Linked DNA regions of Saccharomyces cerevisiae S288C. The gene in region 1 interacts genetically with each later gene. Each region holds a gene or a part of one and is shown on either strand. Other genes may lie near its edges. The genes, in order: ATG42, FPR4 and IOC4.

The links.
Region 2: mutations in ATG42 (region 1) and FPR4 together harm fitness more than expected from each alone (negative genetic interaction), as found in Saccharomyces cerevisiae (2 studies listed by BioGRID).
Region 3: mutations in ATG42 (region 1) and IOC4 together harm fitness more than expected from each alone (negative genetic interaction), as found in Saccharomyces cerevisiae (2 studies listed by BioGRID).

The regions. Positions count from the first base shown.
Region 1 is NC_001134.8:513,743-517,807, forward strand, and holds ATG42 (carboxypeptidase C), read left to right. Parts: upstream 1-1,921; coding exon 1,922-3,448; downstream 3,449-4,065. Other genes in the region: YBR138C (uncharacterized protein), read right to left, coding at 20-1,594; GTPase-activating protein IRA1, read right to left, coding at 3,608-4,065. UniProt on the Saccharomyces cerevisiae protein: Vacuolar serine-type carboxypeptidase involved in vacuolar zymogen activation, breakdown of the autophagic body, and autophagosome-dependent protein synthesis.
Region 2 is NC_001144.5:1,028,947-1,032,539, forward strand, and holds FPR4 (peptidylprolyl isomerase FPR4), read left to right. Parts: upstream 1-1,887; coding exon 1,888-3,066; downstream 3,067-3,593. Other genes in the region: 60S ribosomal protein eL6 RPL6B, read left to right, coding at 307-822. UniProt on the Saccharomyces cerevisiae protein: PPIase that acts as a histone chaperone. Histone proline isomerase that increases the rate of cis-trans isomerization at 'Pro-17' (H3P16), 'Pro-31' (H3P30) and 'Pro-39 (H3P38) on the histone H3 N-terminal tail.
Region 3 is NC_001145.3:353,775-357,468, reverse strand, and holds IOC4 (Ioc4p), read right to left. Parts: upstream 2,086-3,694; coding exon 658-2,085; downstream 1-657. Other genes in the region: transcription factor MCM1, read right to left, coding at 2,738-3,598. UniProt on the Saccharomyces cerevisiae protein: Functions as a component of the ISW1B complex, which acts in remodeling the chromatin by catalyzing an ATP-dependent alteration in the structure of nucleosomal DNA.

The DNA.
Region 1 (4,065 bases):
ATCTCTTAGCAATGTATTTTCAAGGTTGAAAATTTAAACGATCACTATTTTGATTGCGTAAGAAATGCGGAAGTAAACCATTTATTCTCCACTTCCACTTCAATTTTCTTCTTGCTTCCAAAAACCAATTCATTGATTTAGAGCCCATTGCATCTTTATTAAAATGATGTTTGATTGACTTATCATTTTCTAGCAATTGCAACTGCAATCGTTCTATTAGTTCCTTAGAGAAGCTGTCCTTTTTTTTTGATATTTCCTTTTTAAGGTCGATCTTGTTATCTTCTATGTGCCTATTTATTTTTTTTGGAACATCTGTCGATAAATGAAACGGTTCTGCTGAATTCTCTAGATCACTAAAAGTACCGCTGCTTAGATTTGATTCATCCATAGATGATTCGAACTCGCAGTTCTCAAAGATTTTAGCGGCTTCTTCATATCTAACTGTGCATTGCTCACATACAATTTCTTTATAGTATCCTGAATTTAAAAGTCTCGAGCTAATTTCATATAGGGCCTTTTCGCAGATGACACATTTCCTCAGTTGGGAATGAACATTTAATTCCGATAGATAAAGATCATCGTAACTTTTATTGGAAGATGGAATATTAACCAAGTTAACCACCATATTTTCAATGGAATTTGGTATGGAAATATCACTTATTTCAATTTCCTCTTTGATAAAATCTAAGGGGTTGTTACTTTCGTCCCTATTTTCTTCAGTATTCCTTAATATATGGGGTATCAGTGTTAGTGAATTCGGTTCAAAGCTATTTCTATTGGTTTCCTTATTAATTTCAGAATATGAATTTTTTACTCTCAGCGGGATATGATTATCTCTTCTTTTACTTAGTTTTGATTTCAAATCTGAAATAGATACCATTTTTTTTGTTGATTTACTTTGGGTATACGGTATGTAGTCTTCAACCAGGACTAGCGGTGGTATATCCTGAGAAGTATTTTCTGTTAGCTCGTAGTTTTTTGTATCTAAACTCGGCCCATAACTGACGTACCTATTACGTTTGTTGTTATGCACTCGCAGTTCATTTACAGGATTCAACCTGGGCCGTTTTTTATTGTTGTTGTATTCGTTGTTTCCACTGTCATCTTCATTAGTTTCGATATTGCATGGAGGCGCAATTGGCAAAGACGTAAAGCTCTTGTCATCAATTAGATCTAATTTGGAAACAGATTGGTACAATTTGGATGGAATTTTAGGCTTGGCACCTATCAATTGTGAGCGACGCTTTCTTACATTCAATAACTGTTGGTTCTGATTTTCACTTTGACTATTGCCTTGGTATGGAGAATTTCTCTGCAATGGTTTTGCCTGCTTCGAAGGAGTGCTGTTACTATCGAAGATAAATTCCTTCTTTTCAAATTGCCATTGTAACATGGAGTTATTCTCTATATCCTGGACGACTGGAGGAGTCAAGGGCCTGGAAAGTACGGATCCTGTAGAAATATCACTGGCAATTATACTGAGTTTATTGTTGGTGTTGCTATTCATATTTGAGCTGGTATTGGACGAAAGCAAGGATAATGAGTTTGTGTCTACTGACTCCAACACCCTAGGCTGGATTTGATCTTTCTCCATCCTTTAATTTTAACCTTTTAATTAGTGGTTGGATCAAGTTTTCGAGACTATTCCAATCTGTGACTTGTTGGATAAATAGTTTTTGACTCGTTTAGTATAATCCTTTTTTCTAAAAGTGCTTAGAGTTCTCTAAGATGTTCTTGTTTACAATGTGAGCGATTTAGGAAATTTCCTAAAAATGGCCGAGGCGGCGCTAGCATTCTACGAAAGGTGAGATAACGCTTCGTTATCGAAAAATGTCAGGGGACAGGGGTTATATAAGAACGAAAATTGTCATCCTGCATTTTTTCTTTAAAACAGCTATACAAAAAGTGATACCGACATACAATGAAGTATCTAAACTTAGTTTTCGTGCTTCAGCTTCTTATTAGCATCAAATACGCCTCATTCGGCCGAGCCTTTTCTCTTTTTGAAGATGATACCACCTTTGCCAATTTGGATAAACAGCTAAAGCTTCCACAGAATACACAGCAAACCCTTAAATTGGACCGTTTGAATCACGATGATCCGCTGTTTACAACTTTTATTTCTTCTGTGGACACAGATTACAGTTTGAGACTTAGAACAGTAGATCCTTCTAAACTAGGAATTGACACCGTAAAACAATGGTCGGGTTACATGGACTATAAGGATTCCAAACACTTTTTTTACTGGTTTTTTGAAAGTAGGAACGATCCTGCTAACGACCCAATTATTCTTTGGTTAAATGGTGGACCTGGTTGTTCCTCGTTTACTGGGTTGCTATTTGAACTAGGCCCCTCATCAATTGGCGCCGATATGAAACCAATCCACAATCCCTATTCTTGGAATAATAACGCTTCAATGATCTTCTTAGAACAGCCACTCGGAGTCGGCTTTTCCTATGGTGATGAAAAAGTCTCCTCTACAAAATTAGCAGGCAAAGATGCGTACATTTTCCTGGAATTGTTTTTTGAAGCTTTTCCTCATTTACGCTCCAACGATTTCCACATTGCAGGCGAATCCTATGCAGGACATTATATCCCTCAAATTGCACATGAGATCGTTGTCAAGAACCCTGAAAGAACGTTCAATTTAACTTCAGTTATGATTGGTAATGGTATCACAGACCCTTTGATTCAAGCAGATTATTATGAACCAATGGCATGCGGGAAAGGGGGCTATCACCCTGTTCTCTCATCAGAAGAATGTGAGAAAATGAGTAAAGCTGCAGGTCGTTGTCGTAGGTTGAACAAGTTATGTTATGCTTCTAAATCAAGTTTACCATGCATAGTCGCCACTGCTTACTGTGACTCTGCACTTTTGGAACCGTACATTAACACAGGACTCAACGTCTATGACATTAGAGGGCCCTGTGAAGATAATAGTACTGATGGTATGTGTTATACAGGTCTCCGCTATGTCGACCAGTATATGAATTTTCCTGAAGTTCAAGAAACGCTAGGGTCCGACGTGCATAATTATTCTGGCTGTGATAATGACGTGTTCACCGGATTTTTGTTTACGGGCGATGGAAGTAAACCATTTCAACAATATATTGCTGAATTATTAAATCACAACATTCCGGTATTAATATATGCGGGTGATAAGGATTATATTTGTAATTGGCTGGGAAACCATGCTTGGTCCAATGAGTTGGAATGGATCAATAAACGTAGGTATCAGAGAAGGATGTTAAGACCATGGGTCAGTAAAGAAACAGGTGAAGAGTTGGGACAAGTCAAGAACTATGGCCCTTTCACCTTTTTGAGAATATACGATGCCGGTCATATGGTGCCCTATGATCAACCGGAGGCAAGTTTGGAAATGGTCAACAGTTGGATTTCCGGTAATCGTGCTTTTTCGGATCTTTCCACCTTGGAAAATGCTAGTTAGTAGTGCTCTAAAAATGTTTCACTCTTAACCTTGCAATCATTATACTTTACACAAATCTCTACGTTTCATTTAATTTAAAATCTACAATCCAACAAATATAAAACAAAATATAATTATAAGGAAAAACGTATATAATCACTGCAATACTCTAATTTAAAATTAGGAGCACGACATTCTTGCCAGTATCATTGTTGCTAATCTTTTTCTCTCATAAATTGCCACTTGATGTTCACCCTCTCCTTTTAACTTTTCTATATGTTCCTGATCAAAAATATCCAGAGGCTTCACAACTGACAAGCCTCTCTTTTTTAAAAGTTCGACCATTTCATCATTAAATTCCTCTAGGTAATTAAACTCACTGTGTGTAACAAGCATCCCAATCAATTCAAAAGAGACAGCAACCGCTTCAGATGATTGTTCTAGGGTTGATAACCTCCTGAATTCCTTTCTAGTCAGCGTATAGAACCTGAATACACAAATAGGGTTGACTTTGAGCAAATACCTCATCAATAGAGCAAAACGGAATTTACATGGTTCGTCTGACATAACACAGCTAAACAAAAGTGCTCCTTGGTATAAGACTATATTAGATTTATCTGAGTCTGAACTTAGCCAGT
Region 2 (3,593 bases), on another chromosome or scaffold:
AAGAACAAAAGCAGGAAGGGAGCTAACCTTTTAAATATGAACTGGACAAAACTGGACAAAATGAAAATAACGATTTTAGTAAAAATGAAAATATAGCATCAAATGACTGAGAAACATAGTAACAATAACTCATATTATAGCTAATCTGAGTAAACTTCTTCCTACGCTAAGAATTTTTTTGAGGATAGTACCAAACCTTGTGCTGAATCAGCACACGCCATGCCCACCATCAATTGTGCAAGAAAAAAGTAAACGAGTAGTATACTAACTATATATGTGATTTACATCACGATATGTCAATTATAGGCCCCAAAGTGGTATCCTTCCGAAGACGTTGCTGCCCCAAAGAAAACCAGAAAGGCTGTTCGCCCACAAAAGTTGCGTGCCTCTCTAGTTCCAGGCACTGTTTTGATCTTGCTAGCTGGCCGTTTCAGAGGTAAGAGAGTTGTCTACTTGAAACATCTAGAAGACAACACTCTATTGGTCACTGGTCCATTCAAGGTCAATGGTGTTCCATTGAGAAGAGTCAACGCTCGTTATGTCATTGCTACCTCTACCAAAGTCTCCGTGGAAGGTGTCAACGTTGAAAAATTCAACGTTGAATACTTTGCCAAGGAAAAATTGACCAAGAAGGAAAAGAAGGAAGCTAACTTGTTCCCAGAACAACAAACTAAGGAAATCAAGACTGAACGTGTTGAAGATCAAAAGGTTGTTGACAAGGCTTTGTTGGCTGAAATCAAGAAGACCCCATTGTTGAAGCAATATTTGTCCGCTTCTTTCTCTTTGAAGAACGGTGACAAGCCACACCTATTGAAATTCTAAATTGAACTGAAAAAATTATAAATGATTTAAAATAGAATTTCAAAACAAGGAGAATTGATAGAGAATGCGTTGATCTGAAAATACTGTTTGACAATAACGGAAAGGTAAGTGGATATGTAATCTAAGTTTAATCCTCTTCTAATTCATTTTTCCTATCAACATTATCTGTGCTTTTCTATATCCTTCTTTTTGTATCTATAATTTTTTTTTTCTCTTACATAGCAAAATACAAAAAATCATAAATATTAATATCTAAGGGTTCAAGATCAGGTCATCGCCGTTCTGGGCCACTAGGCTATATCTATTCATTTACATTGGAAGCTGCATGGTCTACTCCAACCGCACTGAGGCAAAGTCTCTGTGGAGGAAATGCTGTCCTAGCGAGCCATTGCAATAGGTATAATCAGAGTCGTCCTCCCAATGTGTTAACTTCTCTCAAAACCACCATATAAATTCTGTAACCTGCCAGCGATAATGTTATATATGTAAAAGGTAAACATACAACCCAATTTGTCCATACTAAGTGGATGCTGGGGAAGCAACTACAGTGCAGATGCTAAAGTTTGCTGCGGCAAATAATCTCAACATTTTTGTGATTAAACCTGCCTCAGTGGGGTGTATGATTAGTGCGTTGATATTTAATACACGCGTAAAAGTTAAGTCTGTTGTACGTTTTATTTCGAGTGACGAAAGAACTACGAATAACTTCCTGCATACTGTTGCCTTTTTCTGTATTTACGTATACTTTTATATCAAATAGCTTGGCCAAAAGAAAGTAGCATTGTGTATCAAGTCATAATTCTAATTCTTAGTTTAACTTCAGCAAAAATAATATTCTTCGTCAGACATTCTCATACAATCATTAACCCATATGAACGTTAAATTTCTCAATTTCTTGCCTTCGATGCCCTATGTATATTTTTATCTCAAACCCGAGGCAGTGAAAATTTTAGCTGGTGCATCGAAAAGAGAAGGGCATTGAAAATTTTACAGTGTTAAAAGAAGTGCTTTTCATGTTAGAATGATAAGAAAAAAGAAAAAGACAACAAAATATACGTCTCTACCATGTCTGATATGCTTCCATTGGCTACGTATAGCCTGAATGTTGAACCATACTCCCCAACCCCAGCTCTGAACTTCAAAATTCCGGTTACCATTAGAATCACAATGGCGGCCATCGACCCTGAGCCCTTTGACGATGACAAAAAGCCATCTACTTTAAGAATAATCAAAAGGAATCCTGAACTCACTCGCGGTGAGTACTACAACCAAGATAACAATGACGGCCTCGAAGAGGATGAAAGTGAAAGTGAACAAGAAGCAGATGTACCAAAAAGGAGTGTCAAATCAAAAAAAGGTAAGGCAGTCGAGCAAAGTGAATCAGAAGACTCTGAAGATGAAAACGAAATCGACGATGAATTCGAAGAATGCGTTCTTTTAACCTTATCTCCAAAAGGCCAATATCAACAAGCTTTGGATATTACCATTGCACCAGAGGAAGACGTTCAATTCGTCGTTACCGGTTCATACACTATCTCTCTAACCGGTAACTACGTCAAACATCCATTCGACAATTCTTCAGATTCAGACGAAGATGAAGAAGACTATTACAGTGACGAAGAATCTTCCAATGGAGAAGAAGAAGAAGAAGAAGAAGAAGAGGACGATGAGGAACTAAGTTCCGGTGATGACGATCTTGATGATTTAGTAGATGCTAGTGACATCGAAAGTCGTCTTGATGAATTAGTCAAAAAGGACGAAAAGAAGAAAAACAACAAGAAGGACAGTAAAAGGAAACATGAGGAAGATGAGGAAGAAAGTGCTAAACCTGCCGAGAAAAAACAAACGACCAAGAAAGACAAGAAAGCAGAGAAAGTTAAAGACTCGGAAGAGAGCAAACCAAAGCCAAAGACGAAGCTACTGGAAGGCGGTATTATCATTGAAGACCGCGTCACAGGAAAAGGCCCACATGCCAAAAAGGGTACCAGAGTTGGAATGAGATATGTTGGTAAGTTGAAGAACGGGAAAGTTTTTGACAAGAATACAAAGGGTAAGCCTTTTGTTTTTAAGTTGGGCCAAGGCGAAGTAATTAAAGGATGGGACATCGGTGTTGCTGGTATGGCGGTCGGTGGTGAGCGTAGAATTGTCATTCCTGCTCCATATGCCTACGGTAAACAAGCTTTGCCCGGTATTCCTGCTAACTCTGAATTGACATTTGATGTTAAATTGGTCTCCATGAAATAGGGTCCTTAATGCATACGTATTGATATATGTATCTATAATACTATATACAATTATCTATACTTCCATTACTAATATTATCTTTCAATTTTACATGTTTTTTTCTGCCATAAAAAAGCAATATTTTTTTGCGAGCTATTTAGTGATATAGCCGCCCAGCTACTTGTCGATGCATATATTGGCTGAGAGTACTAATACAATTATCGGAAGACCTCAAAGTAAAATATAGAAGCTTTGAGTAAAAGGAGCTCGAGTTTTAAAAATGACTTCGTAATATGTAAAGTTTATGTCATATATACTTACACGATAAATAGACCATTGATCGTTAGAGACGAGCGCATTGTTTTGTTGAATCCCTTTCAACAGCGCGACAAAAGTTAATCGAGAACAATAAGATGTTGCATTCAAGGGTTAGTCAAACATATCAGAAGGCCGTTTTCTAAATCACCTCAAGAACCTACCACACAGATACATCTTGAAGAGGTGGAGTACCAAAGGGAATATTTTGTACGAGCAAGTTATAGTAAGAC
Region 3 (3,694 bases), on another chromosome or scaffold:
ATCATCTGCACGTATGCTATATCGAAACCAAAAAGAATATTGCAGACGTAATGACCAAACCTCTTCCGATAAAAACATTCAAACTATTAACAAACAAATGGATTCATTAGATCTATTACATTATGGGTGGTATGTTGGAATAAAAATCCACTATCGTCTATCAACTAATAGTTATATTATCAATATATTATCATATACGGTGTTAAGATGATGACATAAGTTATGAGAAGCTGTCATCGAAGTTAGAGGAAGCTGAAGTGCAAGGATTGATAATGTAATAGGATAATGAAACATATAAAACGGAATGAGGAATAATCGTAATATTAGTATGTAGAAATATAGATTCCATTTTGAGGATTCCTATATCCTTGAGGAGAACTTCTAGTATATTCTGTATACCTAATATTATAGCCTTTATCAACAATGGAATCCCAACAATTATCTCAACATTCCCCCATTTCTCAAATGATAATGCACAACAGACTTAGAACTTTAATTGTAATAATACAGCACAGTCTAGGTGAGTTTTGGACTATCAAAGACTGCGTCATACATATCAGAACATACACAAGTTACATAGTTTTAGTCTATTTTATAGTACACAGGTTTCCCCTCTATTGTTCAAAAGCAGAGTACATCAACTGCAATAGCAACAGGTCATGCTCCTACTTTGCTTTCTTCTTCCTTTACGTCTTCACTAAAGCTCGGCTTTTCCCGATCCATTTCTTCAATTTCCATATTTTGCTCTAGTTGCCAATCTTCCGTATCAGGTATGAACTGGTAGGAATAAATATGCTTGAAAATATCCTGGAAACGATCCCACAGATCCCATTTGTTCAGTTCCCTTTTTCTTAAGTTAAATAATATCCTAAAGTTTAACAGTAGGGAATTATTTGATTGGAAAATTGTTATAAATTCGTTTCTGGACCCCCTGGTGTCAAGGGCAATCTGCAATTCATCTAATATTATTTCGAAATCATCCTTTATCGAAACAGCCTGGTTAATGGCTGAACATAAGACATCACACAGGAGCTTGTTGATACCTGCTAGTTTATCCTCCAGATCTAGCTTAATCTCCACATGCTTTTCTAGATTTTTCTTCTGCGACAGTTTTTTCGCAATCGGATCCATCGTTTTTTCGATTGATAGATCTTGTGGGCCCAACCCAACAATGCTCCAATCTTCATCATCTTCAAAATGATATTTGATTGGCTTAGGTGGTTTAGGTTTCTCTTTCTTTGCCTTTGTTTTTGGATTTGGTTTAGTCTTGGATACTACAACTTTCTTAGTTTTGGTCCTTTGCGGCCTCTTTCTAACAGCCTCTTGTACTTTTTCCTCCTCTTCCTCCTCTTCCTCTTCTGAAGCATCTATCGCTTGTTGCCTAGTCGATCTAGTAACTCTTTTCCTTTTATTGCTATTACCGCCCTCACTCTTTTCCGTTTCTGAGGCGCGCTTCTGACGCTGTCTACTGGAAGACCTGGTTGGCCTTATAGCCTTTTTTTCAGGTTCGTTCTCTTCTTCCTCTTCCTCTACATATTCCTCTTCATCTGGCTTGCCGTAAGACCCATATTCCACAAATTCCCAAATATCAATTCCATTTTTGCCTCTCATAGCCATTTCATATGCCGGTATGAGTTTCTTATTCTTCCGCTGTTTGCCGCTTAGCCACTTACGACAATCTTCGCTTGTTAGAATCTTCATATCCATGGGCTTCACCCAGATATAAGAATCATCGCAAAAAAACTTGACGCAGTAAGTCGATTTCAACGTATCATTTTTACGAAACTTCAGAACGGGAGTGTATATTATAAATTTTTCAGGATTAGCCTCACTCTCACCAAAATCCTCTATATCTTCTTCTTCTTCGCTTTGCTCTCGATCTCTAGCCTCTGATTCCATGTCTGCATCTATATCTTCATTTGCTTTTTTATCACTACCTGATTTGCCTTTGTGGACACTCACAGGTTTGGTCTTGAGGATGTTATCTGGGATGAGTTCATTAGGGATAATCATTGCTGGCCATGCTGAAAAGCCTTTAACTTTGGCAAGGACAATGTCCGTTGGCTGGAATATCGCTTCAGACATTATCGGAGAATGACACGCCGTTCTGAAAAATGTAGTTAACAATTTCTTCGTCAATTCTTACTTTACCAATATTGATATAACGCTTAAAAAACTGGCAGCTACATGCGTAGATTTATTTCACTGTTAACGGGGAGCCACGATATTTTCCGTACACTCGTATAAAAGTATATAACTTACAATACTGGCAATGAAATTAGACCGAGAGGCATTTATATGGTAATGATTATACAACTAAAAAAAGATTAGCATTAAAAGCAATGTAATTAACATTATAATTTTTTTGGAAATGTGTGTATGTGAGTAAAGTATACAAGTTATGTGTGGTTTCTCATATTTTTATATTCTTAAAGTTTTATATTTATATTTTATATATCCGGGGAAGGAGAAGGGGAGATTTGATTGAATCTTCTTGCCTATGAAAGAAAGTGGCAGCAAAATGAAATGAGGCAAAGAAACAAACCAGAAGTAATCGTAAAAAAAAAGGTAAGTGCCGATGACTAAGGTACTTCCTATTCTTTTACCGACATAGGGCTTTTTTCAATATAGAGTAATGTACGTTTTTGTTCTTGTTGTCTATCTTTCTTTAATTGGTACGGAAACAGCTTTTTCCTCTTAATGCTCGTCTATGAATTATATACGGAAATCGATAAGATTAGTATTGGCCTTGTTGCGGTTCTTGAAAGTATTGTTGGTAGGCAGCATTCTGTTCAGCATTCAGATAGGGGGAGGCAGCGTTGGCAAAAGCCTGTTGGTGAGGCTGATGAATGCCGGTGAGGGGTTGTTGTTGTTGCTGCTGTTGCTGCTGTTGCAGTTGTTGTTGTTGTTGTTGCTGTTGCTGTGGCTGCGATTGTTGCGGATGTGGTATTCCTTGCTGTGGTCGAGGATGCTGTGACATTTGTTGCTGTGACATTTGCTGCTGTGGTTGTTGTTGCTGTTGCTGTTGTGGTTGTGAATTCTGCGTGTGATGTTGCTGCTGTTGAATCATTGAGTTTTGATTAGGATTGGCACCGCCTAGCAATTGTGACTTCACCTCTTGTTTCAGCGCGCCTGCCGGTACCTGATCTTGATTTAGATGGCCTAAGCTATTTGCGTGTGCATTCAATACTTGTTGCTGTTGTTGCGGTTGCTGTTGTTGTGGTTGCTGGCGTTGCATATCATTACCATCATCGTCATCATCATCATCATCATCACCGTCTTCCTCCTCGTCTTCTTCCTCATCATCAGGGGCGTTAAGACAGGCCTGGATCAGGTTTCTACCTTCCTGCTGCGTGACTATAGGTTCAAACTTCGGCGTGCTGAAAGTATATACCAAACCTGTTTCTGAAACGACTAGCAACAGGACCTGGGTCCCCGTTAGAACAGAAAGCTCAAACGCCTTTTTCATGATACCGTGCTTCCTTTTGGAAAATGTCACATGGCGCCTTGTTTTATTCTCGATGAACTTAATTTCTATCTTTCTTCTCTCCTTCTGTTGCCCATTATTAGTAGGCGTACCTTCTTCGATGTCTGACATTTTTGCTGGGTGGCTATAATATTGTTGCGTGACAGCAAGTCTTGCAGATCCAAAACTTTTTTTTGATTTTCGCTTCTTATTGCTCTGCACTAATTT